3 linked regions of the Tamandua tetradactyla genome follow. The protein of the gene in region 3 purifies or fractionates together with the protein of the main gene of each other region. This does not show direct contact. Links are inferred from orthologs where the notes say so. Each region holds a gene or a part of one and is shown on either strand. Other genes may lie near its edges. The genes, in order: SIRT7, RUNX2 and UBTF.

Region 1 (3,745 bases), about 51 Mb from region 3:
CCTCTTCACCTTGCCCCTGGGTCAGCTCCCCCCATTATGACAACCTGGACACTCAGATTTCAGAGAAAAACCCAGCAGGAACAGGTCAGCTCCTGCCCAAAGAATATGGCCACAGAGAATCCCCCTGGGTCCCTGGCTGCTGCTCCAGGGTAGGTGCCACCGTGTGTGAAGGTGGGGAGAGTCAGCTGCTCTGAGATAGCTCGGGAGTGGGGTGCTGACTTTTCTCCCCACTTCAGCTTGTCAGCGGCAACCTCCATGGTCTCAGGGCTCAGGCCCATGGCTCTGGTCTCTGCTGTGCTGCTTTGGGATGTGTGCCCATGCCCCATCTATCCCTCTGCCTTCTCTCTGGAGAGACCCAGAGGCTAGTGCTCCCTGTCCCCAGCTGGGAAGCCTCAGCCGCAGCCTGCAGCACCGTTTCCGCTCTAGGATCATGTGAGTTTTTTTTTTTAGGCTGTGGTTTGGTGAAAGGAACCAACGCATTAACGATTTTTTTTCCCCAAAAGCCACTGAATAATTCTCTTTGGCGCCTTTTTTCCCTTCCTCTTGGCTGTCAGTGGTTTGGGAGCAGGTGGGGAGAGTGGAGAACTCATGCAGCGCTGCGCCGAGGCACAGGCATGTTAGCAAAACTGCCATACCTGTCCTGCTTTGGCCTGTGTGTGTCCTGGGTCTGGGCCCAGCCACACAAATGTCCACCGTGCCTGGGCAGCAGCCTTGCTACCTTGGGTGTCCCACGACTCCAAGCTGACTGGCAGAGAGCACATCTCCAACCCACCAGGAGAGCTCCCTGTTCTGGGTGGTCTCAGTTGGGCGTTGGCCCCAATGGTGAGCTCGTGTCCCAGCCTTGTCCTTCTCCCCATCTCTTCCACTCCCTGAAGCCTTGAACCAAACAGGAGTGGGTACTGAAAGCCTCCTCCCAGCTATTGGGACACCAGAACCAGGGCTGCCCAGTGTGTCCAGCTCTGCTGGTCTCCTGGCACTGAGCGGGTGGATTGGGGCGGGTTGAGCAGACTCCACCTGCCCCGCCTAGGGCAGAAGCTGGGAGAGGCTGGAGGCTGGGGGAGTACCCTGGGGTTGGGTGGGTTAAAGTGGGGGGCAGATGTTAAAGATCTAGGGAGGAGGGGGCTAGGCGCCCTGCACCTGGCCCTCGCTGTCGGTGGTCAGGGGCGACCGGGGCAGGCCGGGCCTGGGGTTGGAGGGCCCTGCCTCGTGCAGTATTTATTGCTAAATTATTGTCCAGGAGGGGCGGCACTGGGCCGGCCCCCCGGGTATTTATTGCTGTACATAGTGTATGTTTGTGACATATAAGGTTTTCTTTATTTTGTATATGACCAATAAACACCTTTTAAAAAGAGACTGGCAGGTGCTTCCTTGGGCGGGCGGGGCCGGAAGGGGCGGGGCCTGGCGCGCATGCGTGCGGCCGGGACGAGGCGGAAGCGGAAGCGCGGGCTGCCCCGGGGAGCGATGGCAGCCGGGGGTCTGAGCCGCTCGGAGCGCAAAGCGGCCGAGCGGGTCCGCAGGCTGCGGGAGGAGCAGCAGCGGGAGCGCCTGCGCCAGGTAGGCCCCCACTTGCCCGCGCCCCGCGCCCAGGCCTGCGCGCCCCTCACCGCCCGCCGCCCGCCCGCAGGTGTCACGCATCCTGAGGAAGGCGGTGGCCGAACGCAGCGCCGAGGAGGGTCGGCTGCTGGCCGAGAGCGAGGACCTGGTGACGGAGCTGCAGGGCCGGAGCCGGCGACGCGAGGGCCTCAAGCGGCGGCAGGAGGAGGCGAGTCCCGCGCGGCAGTCGTTCCGAGGGCGCTGTCTGGCCTCGCCGGGGCCAGGGCGCTCTGGGGCTGGGCAACTTTCCGAGCGAGACGCCGGCGGCCTTCGGTCCGGAGCGGTCGTCTGCCCGGAATTCCCTGGCCCCGGCCTTCTGCCCAGGGGTGGGGGATAGTAGCCAAGGACGGGGGCAATGGCCAGCCTCGGCGTCTCCGCAGGTGTGCGATGACCCGGAGGAGCTGCGGAGGAAAGTCCGGGAGTTGGCGGGCGCTGTCCGGAACGCCAAGTACTTGGTCGCCTACACAGGCGCGGGGATCAGCACGGTAGGGAGGCGAGCCGGGGATGGCCGTGCCCTCGGGACGCTCCACGCGCCGCTCCACGCCCGCCCACAGAACCGAGAGGGCCGGGGACTGAGCGCTCCGAGAGTCATGTGACTGCCGGCCCAGAGGCGTGGGTGGGGGGCGCCCCCTCCCCAGGGCCGAGGACGACGGGGAACATAAAACGTCAAGTAGATGAGCACTTAAAAAACTCTGGAACCCTGTGTCGTACCCGTGTAGACAGGAAGGAAACGAGAGGGGCACGGGACCTAAACAGCTTAGTGCATGCAGGCACCGGCCATTTGGAGTTAAGGAGGCTGATCTCCTTCATCCGGGTTCATTGTGTTTCTGAATGTGAAGGAAGGCACAGAGAAAGCCAAACTCAGGATATACTGGGCAAAGAAGAGAAGTGCTTTGAGCTTTGAGAGACTTCATTGAGGCGCCGTCCTGGGTTTTGAAAGTGTGAGTGGCTCCTTGTCCGTCTAACCTGACAATTGTGAGTTGAGTGTAGACCTAGCAGAGAACCTGGAAAACTCATCCTGGCTGGCCTTTTGGGAGAAGCAGCATTGAATCAGAGCCCAGAAGGATGGGTAGGATTGCACAGGTAAAAGTGGGCAGAAAGCACTCCCAACAGGGTTACTAGCAGAGGCCCAGTGGCAAGAGTGCATATGGTATGTGTTCATTGTCCTACCTCAAAAGTACCTGTTGCCCTGGTATCTGGTCACCTCCCTCCGCAGTCACATGTGAAATCCAGTCACGTGATCCCTTGGAGAGACTAACCTTGAAGAGCTGGAAGTGGCACCTATAAACCTTATGCTGCTTCTTGGTTTGAGCATCACCGCTGGAAGTTCCTCTGAAGGCGACAGTCAGAAACACTGGCCAGGGGTGGGGTTTCACTGGGGAAACCCAGAAGCGATGACGCTGGGTTTCCCCTGGCTGGTGCTTCATGGCCCAGGAAGCACCAGCCACCTTGTTCCTGGCACACCTTTTCTTGTCCTATCTCTCAGGATGGGGTTTGCTGGATTGGGCACTGAGAAAATTACATAGCATTTTATTGACTCTGAAGAGATTATTCTGTCATTGTTAAGATGGAGCAGGAGCCACCTAGAGGGCAAAGCATCTGACGATAGGAATTTGAGCAGAAGCATCCTCAGTTAGGGGTTCACCATTTGCACTGGGCTAGGCCCTGGGGACACAGGTGAGCCTGGCCACACCCCCATCCCCCCATCCCCACTTCAGTATCAGCAGTGTGGGAATAGGAAGAGGTTCCCCCACCTGCCAGGGAGGCCTCCAGAAGGAAGGAACTGTGTTAGGGAATATTCCAGTTTGGTCAGGCAGGTCAGACTAGGAAACGCTGGGTCCATGGTATGAACTGGACTGATTCATGGGCCTGCCTGGAGCACGGCAGGAGAAATGCTTACTTCCTTTTCTCCGGAGTCCAGCCTGAACCCACAGTGAACACACTGTTTTCTGAACACACAGGCAGCCTCTATCCCAGATTACCGGGGCCCTAATGGAGTATGGACGCTACTTCAGAAAGGGAGAAGGGTCAGGTAAGCAGGCCCAGGGCGATCCCCACTCTGAAGGGAGGTTGAGTGGGGCAGACAGGCCTGACCTTGCAGCACCCTCATCTTGGCTTTCCCCTCCACCTGGCAGTGCTGCTGACCTGAGCG
Region 2 (3,745 bases), on a different chromosome or scaffold from region 3:
TTATAATTTTTGTTGAAAAATGCCCCATCACTTACAACTGATGAAATCAGGAAGCCCTATTCATAAGTATAAAAATCATTGATATATAATCATCCTAATAAGAAAATGAAAATGAGTTCTATACATATGTCCAAACGGGCAAAAAACATCTCAAATATGTTTTCAATTTTTTTCAGGATCAAAATTAGCAAACTGAGATGACTAGCATACTCTGTCTGTGTGCATTATTTTTTACTACATACCTTTTTGTAATTTATTTCAAAGCTTCCATTATAAACAAAAAATACATTTTCCATTAACCCACTCCATCCTGAACTTACACAATCTAAATTACAACATATTTTATTTAATATGTTTATAAGGTATTTAAGATGTCTTATCAAAGACTCTGTCAAAGTTAATAGCCAAATAAACTATTTAAAGAATTATACAACTGAACACATTTCCTTGAAAGTTAAGAATTATTACAATCATAAAGGAAAAGAAGACATCCACTAAACTGCTGTAATTCTTGCCATTCATTTGTATAAGACCCTCAAACTAGTCATAACATAAAAGTTATACATTATAAAAGATATAAAAAATACTTTAAATCTTTATTGTAGGACCTGCTATCTAACACTGATAATACATAAACTAGAGACATGATTTAATATTTGTACAAGAATCCCCAGACTAACACTTTCATGACAGCCAATTACAGTCCAGCCCAACAAGCAGTTTGCCACCAGACCTTAAGGTAAATTTTTTTACAATGAATTACAGGTTCACAAGTTTAAAAAGACAAGAAAAAGAAAAACAGAAGAACTCTAGCCATCCAGCAAATATGAAGCAGACCCCAGAACGTGATACAACCCAAAGATGTAAATTACTGTAAATCATCACTGTTGTTCAGAATTTCACACAGCCACTTGACCCAATTTTGCTCATTTTTCCATAGACACAATAATGAACTAAAAGAAAGAGGCAAAAGAAAAAAAAAAAGGAGGGGGGGAATGGGGGTGGTGACAGAAAGGAAAGACCTTAACTGCAGACTTCAGTTCTACAAATGCTTAACCTTCAGGAGTTTGGGCTCCTTCAGCATTTGTATTCTATCCAAATCCTCATGAGTCACAAAAATTAAAAAGCTATATCCTTTTGGATGCCAGGAAGGGCCTTACCACAAGCCTTTTGTCAGAGAAAGAGAGAGAGAGAGAGAGGGAGAGCAAGAGCAAGGGGGAAAAGCCACAGTGGTAGGCAGTCCCACTTTACTTTGAGTACTGTGAGGTCACAAACCACATGATTCTGTCTCTCCAGTAATAGTGCTTGGAAAAAAAGGAGTTTTAAAGCTTTTGCTTTTTTGGATTGTGTGAATGCTTCATTCGCCTCACAAACAACCACAGAACCACAAGTGCGGTGCAAACTTTCTCCAGGAGGACAGCAAGAAGTCTCTGGTTTTTAAATGGTTAATCTCCGCAGGTCACTACCAGCCACCGAGACCAACAGAGTCAGTGAGTGCTCTCTAACCACAGTCTATGCAGTAATAGTAGGTCCTTCAAATATTTGCTCATTCTTTTTGTTTTGTTTCCCTGCTTTTCACATGTTACCAGCTACATAATTTTTTGACAGAAAAAAATAAATATAAAGTCTATGTACTCCAGGCATATTGTAAAACTAAAACAAGGTTTGGGTATGGTTTGTATTTCCAGTTTAAGGCTGCAAGCAGTATTAACAACAGAGGGTACAAGTTCTATCTGAAAAAAAAGGAGGGACTATGGCATCAAACAGCCTCTTCAGCACAGTGACACCATGTCAGCAAAACTTCTTTTGGGGTAAGTGTTATCATTTTTAAAATCCTATAAGAGATGAACCTGTTAAACATAAATGTATGTTTCTTAGATAAATTGCTAGCTTTTCAGGATAACAGTATATTAAAGATATTAACAATAATACTATTCTGTTGAAGTAAAAAATTGAAAATGAAATTGATGTACATATTTGTATATGGCATCTGTATTCTCTGAATAACTTGAAATGGACAAAAATTAATCATTTTTTATTAATCAAAATGTTTTGGGGGCTATAGAAATAAGAATGCTAAAACAGTAAAAGAAACAGCTTAATATTCTCATTTAACCCTCTCTGCAATAAAATGAAGCACGAAATTAATCAAAGTATTATAAATTATTGACTCCAGAAGCTCGCAATATTTGAGCAAAAACTTCAAAATGGAAGCAATCTTACAAAATAACCGAGCACAGATTTATCCCAACATTATGCTCTACTATGTAAAACAGAGAAAGAAATAAACGTACAATACAGTCAGTATTTGAACCAGCTCAACTAAAAGAACTCTATTTATAATTTTAAACTGAGTAAGATATCTGCACAAGTTTGTTTCTAAACAACTATATAACTGAACCATACATTCAATGAAAATAAAATTGCACTAAGTATATCATAGCCATTTTTAAAAGCTCTTTATAGTTGCCTAGGATATTAAGTTTACAGAAGTCTCTAAAAACTAAAATGGAACTGTATTTTCCTATATAATTTTAATTTTACATTTACACTGTTATCCATACGTAGAATTGTTATAAACACATAGCAAATACTGAAACTTCTAAGATTCTTTTAGTAACATTCTTAGACCTACCAAAATGAATAGCATTTTATTTCATGAAAAATAAAGCTCTATAAGAATACTCTGCATGATTTTAAAGAGCCATGCTTATTAATTTTGCTGGACTTTTAAAAGAAAACAGAAACAATACAGTCTCTTAATTAATTTCAAGTTAGTATTGATATAGATAAGTAAACTACTCCAACCTTCACTAGTTGACATAGTATCACAGCAAAATAGCTAAACACTTACAATGTTTTCTTTATGATGTCCAACATGTTCCAAATACAAAGCAAGTTTTGAAAATATCCTGTTTATCCTTTAAAACAAATCCTTTTGCTGTGTATACCTCTGTAACTTACAACTATTGATTGGAGTTTCCTTTACTCCTCCTCCTCCACACATTTTAACTGGCTAATACTTGAGAATCAGTCTTAGTTTAGGTCAAATAGAAATAATTAAACCTGAAGGGGGGGGAGTTTCACTTAAGGGATGAGGAAATATACTCTATATTTTGCAAAAAAAATCTAAAATTATTGTAGTGGCTCCCTCAATAGCTGTAAGCGAGCTCCCTCAGCAATATAATAATCACAGATTGTTTTTAAAACTTCATGGTGGGTAATTAAGCATTAGTCTAAAAATTTCTGAGTTAAGAAAGTACAACAAATATAACTAGACTGTATTATACCCCATATTATAATTACAGCTTATGCATGCGAACTTTTGCTGTTACTACCTAAGAGATGAGGAAAAAAAGCTGTTTAAAATGATTGTTAGTAGAGGGATAACTTGAACAGGTACATTAAGCAGTTAAGTTACTCTTTAACAATATTACTCTTTTGCAAAAATACATTTCTAACCAGATGAGGAAATAACACAAGCTTGAAGGAAATACTTTAGCATTGGAAGTAAAGCTATTAATATTGGCACAAACGGTATGTTAAAATGCTCCTTATTTGATCATATCAGAGGTTTTATATTTCCCTGATGTCCTTAATAACCATTTCTAGTTAAGATTTCTGAAACTTGACCAAGTTTCTATACAAGGAATAATTGTGAAATAAGCAGATAAAAATCACCTTCTATTGCATGTCATATTTTTAATTAGACATTATAACTAATTCTTCCTCTTCTGAAAAGTGG
Region 3 (3,745 bases):
GGATGTGGAAGTCCTGGGAACCCGATCTCATTTCTCACAGGAGACCAGAGGAATTACAGCAGCGGCGAGGCCATGTGTGAGGAGGGAGAAGACAGTGTGCCAGGCAAGAGTCCAAAGGGGCTGGCGACCCAGCTGGCCGCGATGTGGGTAGGAGCAGTGCCGGTGGGAGACCCGGCAGCCCCGCGAGCCAGGAGCGATGGCGCTGCCCCGGGCGCGAGCGCTCGAACCACAGGCCGCTGGCCTGTTGCAAGCAGGAGTCCTTCAGACTGTCTTCTGGCTCCCATCCGATAACCCTTCCACTGAGAAAGGGAGGCAGAGACTGACAACCATAGCCGACGGCAATGGGGTTGGCTGGTGGTCCCCGCCCAGGCCTTTCCATACCCAGGCCCAGGCTGGTGGGGTGCGGGAGACCCACGCGGAGGCTGCCCCGCGGCGGCTCTAACAGCGAGGCCGGGGTGCCCGGCTCCCCTCGCGGCTCTCAGTCGCCGGGGGGCAGCGCCTGCGGCCTGCTTTCCCAGGGCTGGCCGAGCCTTTTTGACAAACTGATTGCGTGGCGGGGATTGGCTGGTCCAGGCGTGACGCCGGTAACAACAAAGGTGGAGTTGGAAGAAATTAGATTAAAGACTAGGAAAAAAAAAAATTAAAGGGGGAGCTGGCCAAGGGACAGGAGACAGAGATCGAAGGGTTGAGGCGCGAAGCGCCGTCTCGCGGCTCCGACCTCTCCCCGGAATCCCCTGCGTGCAAACCGGTCCGGATTTCGCTCTCCACGCCCACCCGGACCCAGCTCTCCAAAGCCGAGGTGGAAGGGACGGCTGGTACTTTCTGAAAAATCCCCCTCAACTCCCACCCGTGACACCCCTGGCTACGACCCAGGGGGGGGAACTTTTTGGTCGGACTCCTCGGATCCTATACCCGGCGGAGGTGGGGACGTTGAAAACAAGGAGAGACTCGCTCTAAACCCCGGAAGGCCCTTGCAGGGCACGAAGATCGGACCAGGCGGGGTGTTCCCCCGTTTTTTCGATGTGTTGTAAATCTGAGAAGAGCGTCTTTCGTTTCATTCCTTTTTCCTTCTTCTTCTTCTTCTTTTTTTTTTTTGTAAAATCCCCCCTTGATTCGCACCCCACCCCCAGCTTTGGCTTCAGGGTTACAAAAGCAAAGAGCAATAAAAAAAAAAAAAAAAAAAAAAAAACCGCGCACACACTCAGGCACACACCAGTGGCGACAGGGGAGAGTAGGAAAGACGCAGGAGAGAAGCAGGAGGCAGGAGGCAGCGGGGAGGGAGCAATGGGAGCGGGAAGGAGGCAGGTTCCCTGGCAAATCCGCCTCCGGCCTCACGCCGCCTCACCGGCCCCGGCAGGGGAGCGAGGAGCCGGGCAAGCAGATGGAGTGGAGCTCGCTCTAGGCAGCGGGCTTGGCCGGAGAATGGAGGAGCCGCCAAGCGACCGGCTGATTGGAAGAGAAACGCAGAGCGATGGAGGCGGGGGTAGGAGGACGATTTCTCTGCGGGGACTGGCGGCAGCGTACACGCCCGGGTCGGGCGCTGCAGAGCTTGGCTAGCTTTCAACCCGCGCTCGCCGGCTCCAGCCCGGTGCGCCCCCACCCCCAGCCCTACCGGCGGCTCCGCAGGTGAGTGCGAGCTGGGGGCAAAAAGACCCAAAAGTCTCAAAACGCCCGCCCTGCGGGTAAAAAAAAAAAGCAAGAGAAAATGGAAAAGAAAAGCATGTTTCTTTCTTTCTTTCTTTTTTTTAAAATTTTTGTGCAGTTCCCAGCACGGTGGGAGGGAAGGGGTGAGGCTGAGCCGCCCGGAGGAGGCGGAGGGGCCAGGCGAGGCCGGGGTGGCCCGGGAGGCGGCGGCGCCGAGGCGGCTCTGACGGGCGAGCGCTCGGAGCGGCGCTGCGCTGCGCCGAGGCGGGCGGGCGGGCGGAGCGGGGCGGGCGGAGCGCGGCGCGTGGGGCTCGCCATTAGCCGTCGCTCCGCTTCGCCATCTCGGGCTTTGTCTGGCGACTCGCTGCTCCGGTGTCGGCTGCGGCTCGGCTCTTCGGCCCGCCGCGCCCCCAGGTGCCCCCGGCCCGCGTTCCCATCCACTCGTTCGGTGAGTGCGCCCCAGCGCCGCGGGATTTCGGGAGAAGAGGGGTTGCGGCGAATGGCAGCGGCGGCCGATCTCCATGCGCCCGGGCGGGCCTGGGGTAGCCATGCCGGGCTGGATTGAACCGGCTCCCAGAGCGGCTCCTCGGCCACAGCCGGTCGCCCCCTCGCCGTTTCCGGGGTGTAAGGAGTAGAGAGGAATTTTTTTTTTTTTTTTTTGCGGGAGAGCGTTCCTGGGGGCGATTTTTATTTTGTTAAAGTTTAGTGTATATCGCTCTACTCGCCAGCGCGGGGACCGCGAGGCGGGCTGGCGCCGCGATCGGCAAGTCTGCGCCCCAAGCCCGCGGCCACACGCGGAGGATATGGGTGGGCGCGGACCACCCGTTCCAGGAGGCAGGAGAGGGAAGCGGGTGAGGGCTGGCCTGGGAGGCCGGAGCTAAACTGAGAGGAGTGGTGGGAGAGCTCCGGAACAGGGCTACGGGCACCACCGAATGTCCCCGGCCGCCGGGGAGCCCTCCGGGCACCCTCGTCGCAGCCGCGCCCTCCCTCCCGCGCCGGCCAAGCCTGCTAGTTCCCCCGCGGGTCTGGGGAGGTCGCTCTCAGCGCGCCCGCCCGCCTCGGCTCCGAGCCCCGCCGCCATCCGGGCGGCTGCGTGTCTCCCTGCCTCGGCCCCCCCCCTCCGGCGGCAGCAGCAGCAGCAGCAGCAGCCGCCGCCGCCGCCACCCCCCTCCCCTCCTTCCTTCCCTCCGCCTCGGCCGCCCGGGTCCCCCTAGCTCCCGCCCCTCCTCCCAGCTGCCCCCCGCGGAGCCCGCCCGGGCAGGCTGTGGGAGGGAGTGGAGCCGGCGAGGCAGGCGGGCTGGCGCTCGCTCCCCGGGGGTCGGTGTGCGCTCTACGGGGAAGGACGCGCTCGCTGCCCCGCTTCTCCCGCCCCCCCTCCCGCTCCTCCTCCTCCCTTCTCCCTCCTCCTCCCCGCTCCGGCGGCGGAGGCTGCGGCGGCGGCGGGGGGTGTGCGAGCGGAGGCCGGGGCCGGCGGGCGGGCGGCGGGCGGGCTGCCTGCAGGCGGAGGGCGCTGTGCTTTGTGCTTTTCGCCGCGAGGAGCAGCAGGCAGCAGCCAAAGCTGCCGCCGCCGCCGCCACAGCAGGAGCAGCCGCCGCCCCAGCGCCGCCGCCGCGCCCGGAGGAGGAGCCGCTGCCGCCGCGGGAGGGAGCTGCGGCTGTGCCCGGCCGAGCGGGGGAGGGCGCCGCCGCTCAGAGCCGGGGAGGGAGCCACGGGAGCGGGAAGCCCGGAGGCCGCGCTGCGCTGGGTAACTGAGGCGGACGGAAGACGCGCGCTGGGGTCGGGGCCCAGCAGCGGGGAGCGAGCTGCGGATGCGGGGGGCGCCCGGTGGGGACCCGAGGCGACCTCCGGGCAGGGGACTGGGCGAGAGCAGACCAGGGCACTGGGGAGGACACGCCGAGAGCCGGGGGAGGGGAAGGCAGGAAGCGAGGCCCGAGCCGAGCCCCAGCCGCGAACGTAGGAGCCCGCGCTTCTCCGAGCCGGCAGGCGCAGTTCTCGCCGGCCGCCGGAGGGGGCGGCGGGGCCGGTGAGCGCTGCGCCCCCGCCTCCCGGCCGCCGTCCTCCCGCCCTCTCCTTGGCTCGGCTCCCCGGAGGCCGGGGCGGG

The links.
Region 1: the proteins of UBTF (region 3) and SIRT7 purify together in Homo sapiens (affinity purification with western blotting; 3 studies listed by BioGRID, with this or other methods). This does not show direct contact. The link is inferred for Tamandua tetradactyla from reciprocal best matches to the Homo sapiens genes UBTF and SIRT7.
Region 2: the proteins of UBTF (region 3) and RUNX2 purify together in Homo sapiens (co-immunoprecipitation; 3 studies listed by BioGRID and IntAct, with this or other methods). This does not show direct contact. The link is inferred for Tamandua tetradactyla from reciprocal best matches to the Homo sapiens genes UBTF and RUNX2.

Annotation. Positions count from the first base shown.
Region 1 is NC_135332.1:74,097,183-74,100,927, reverse strand, and holds the start of SIRT7 (NAD-dependent protein deacetylase sirtuin-7), read left to right. Parts: upstream 1-1,422; 5' UTR 1,423-1,461; coding exon 1,462-1,554; intron 1,555-1,624; coding exon 1,625-1,762; intron 1,763-1,973; coding exon 1,974-2,078; intron 2,079-3,554; coding exon 3,555-3,625; intron 3,626-3,728; coding exon 3,729-3,745. UniProt on the Homo sapiens protein: NAD-dependent protein-lysine deacylase that can act both as a deacetylase or deacylase (desuccinylase, depropionylase, deglutarylase and dedecanoylase), depending on the context. Specifically mediates deacetylation of histone H3 at 'Lys-18' (H3K18Ac).
Region 2 is NC_135331.1:103,059,110-103,062,854, forward strand, and holds the start of RUNX2 (runt-related transcription factor 2), read left to right. Parts: upstream 1-1,373; 5' UTR 1,374-1,486; exon of another isoform or gene 1,487-1,525; intron 1,526-1,688; 5' UTR 1,689-1,753; coding exon 1,754-1,811; intron 1,812-3,745. UniProt on the Homo sapiens protein: Transcription factor involved in osteoblastic differentiation and skeletal morphogenesis. Essential for the maturation of osteoblasts and both intramembranous and endochondral ossification.
Region 3 is NC_135332.1:23,273,593-23,277,337, forward strand, and holds the start of UBTF (nucleolar transcription factor 1), read left to right. Parts: upstream 1-1,268; 5' UTR 1,269-1,626; intron 1,627-1,945; exon of another isoform or gene 1,946-2,092; intron 2,093-2,891; exon of another isoform or gene 2,892-2,961; intron 2,962-3,321; exon of another isoform or gene 3,322-3,388; intron 3,389-3,745. UniProt on the Homo sapiens protein: Recognizes the ribosomal RNA gene promoter and activates transcription mediated by RNA polymerase I (Pol I) through cooperative interactions with the transcription factor SL1/TIF-IB complex.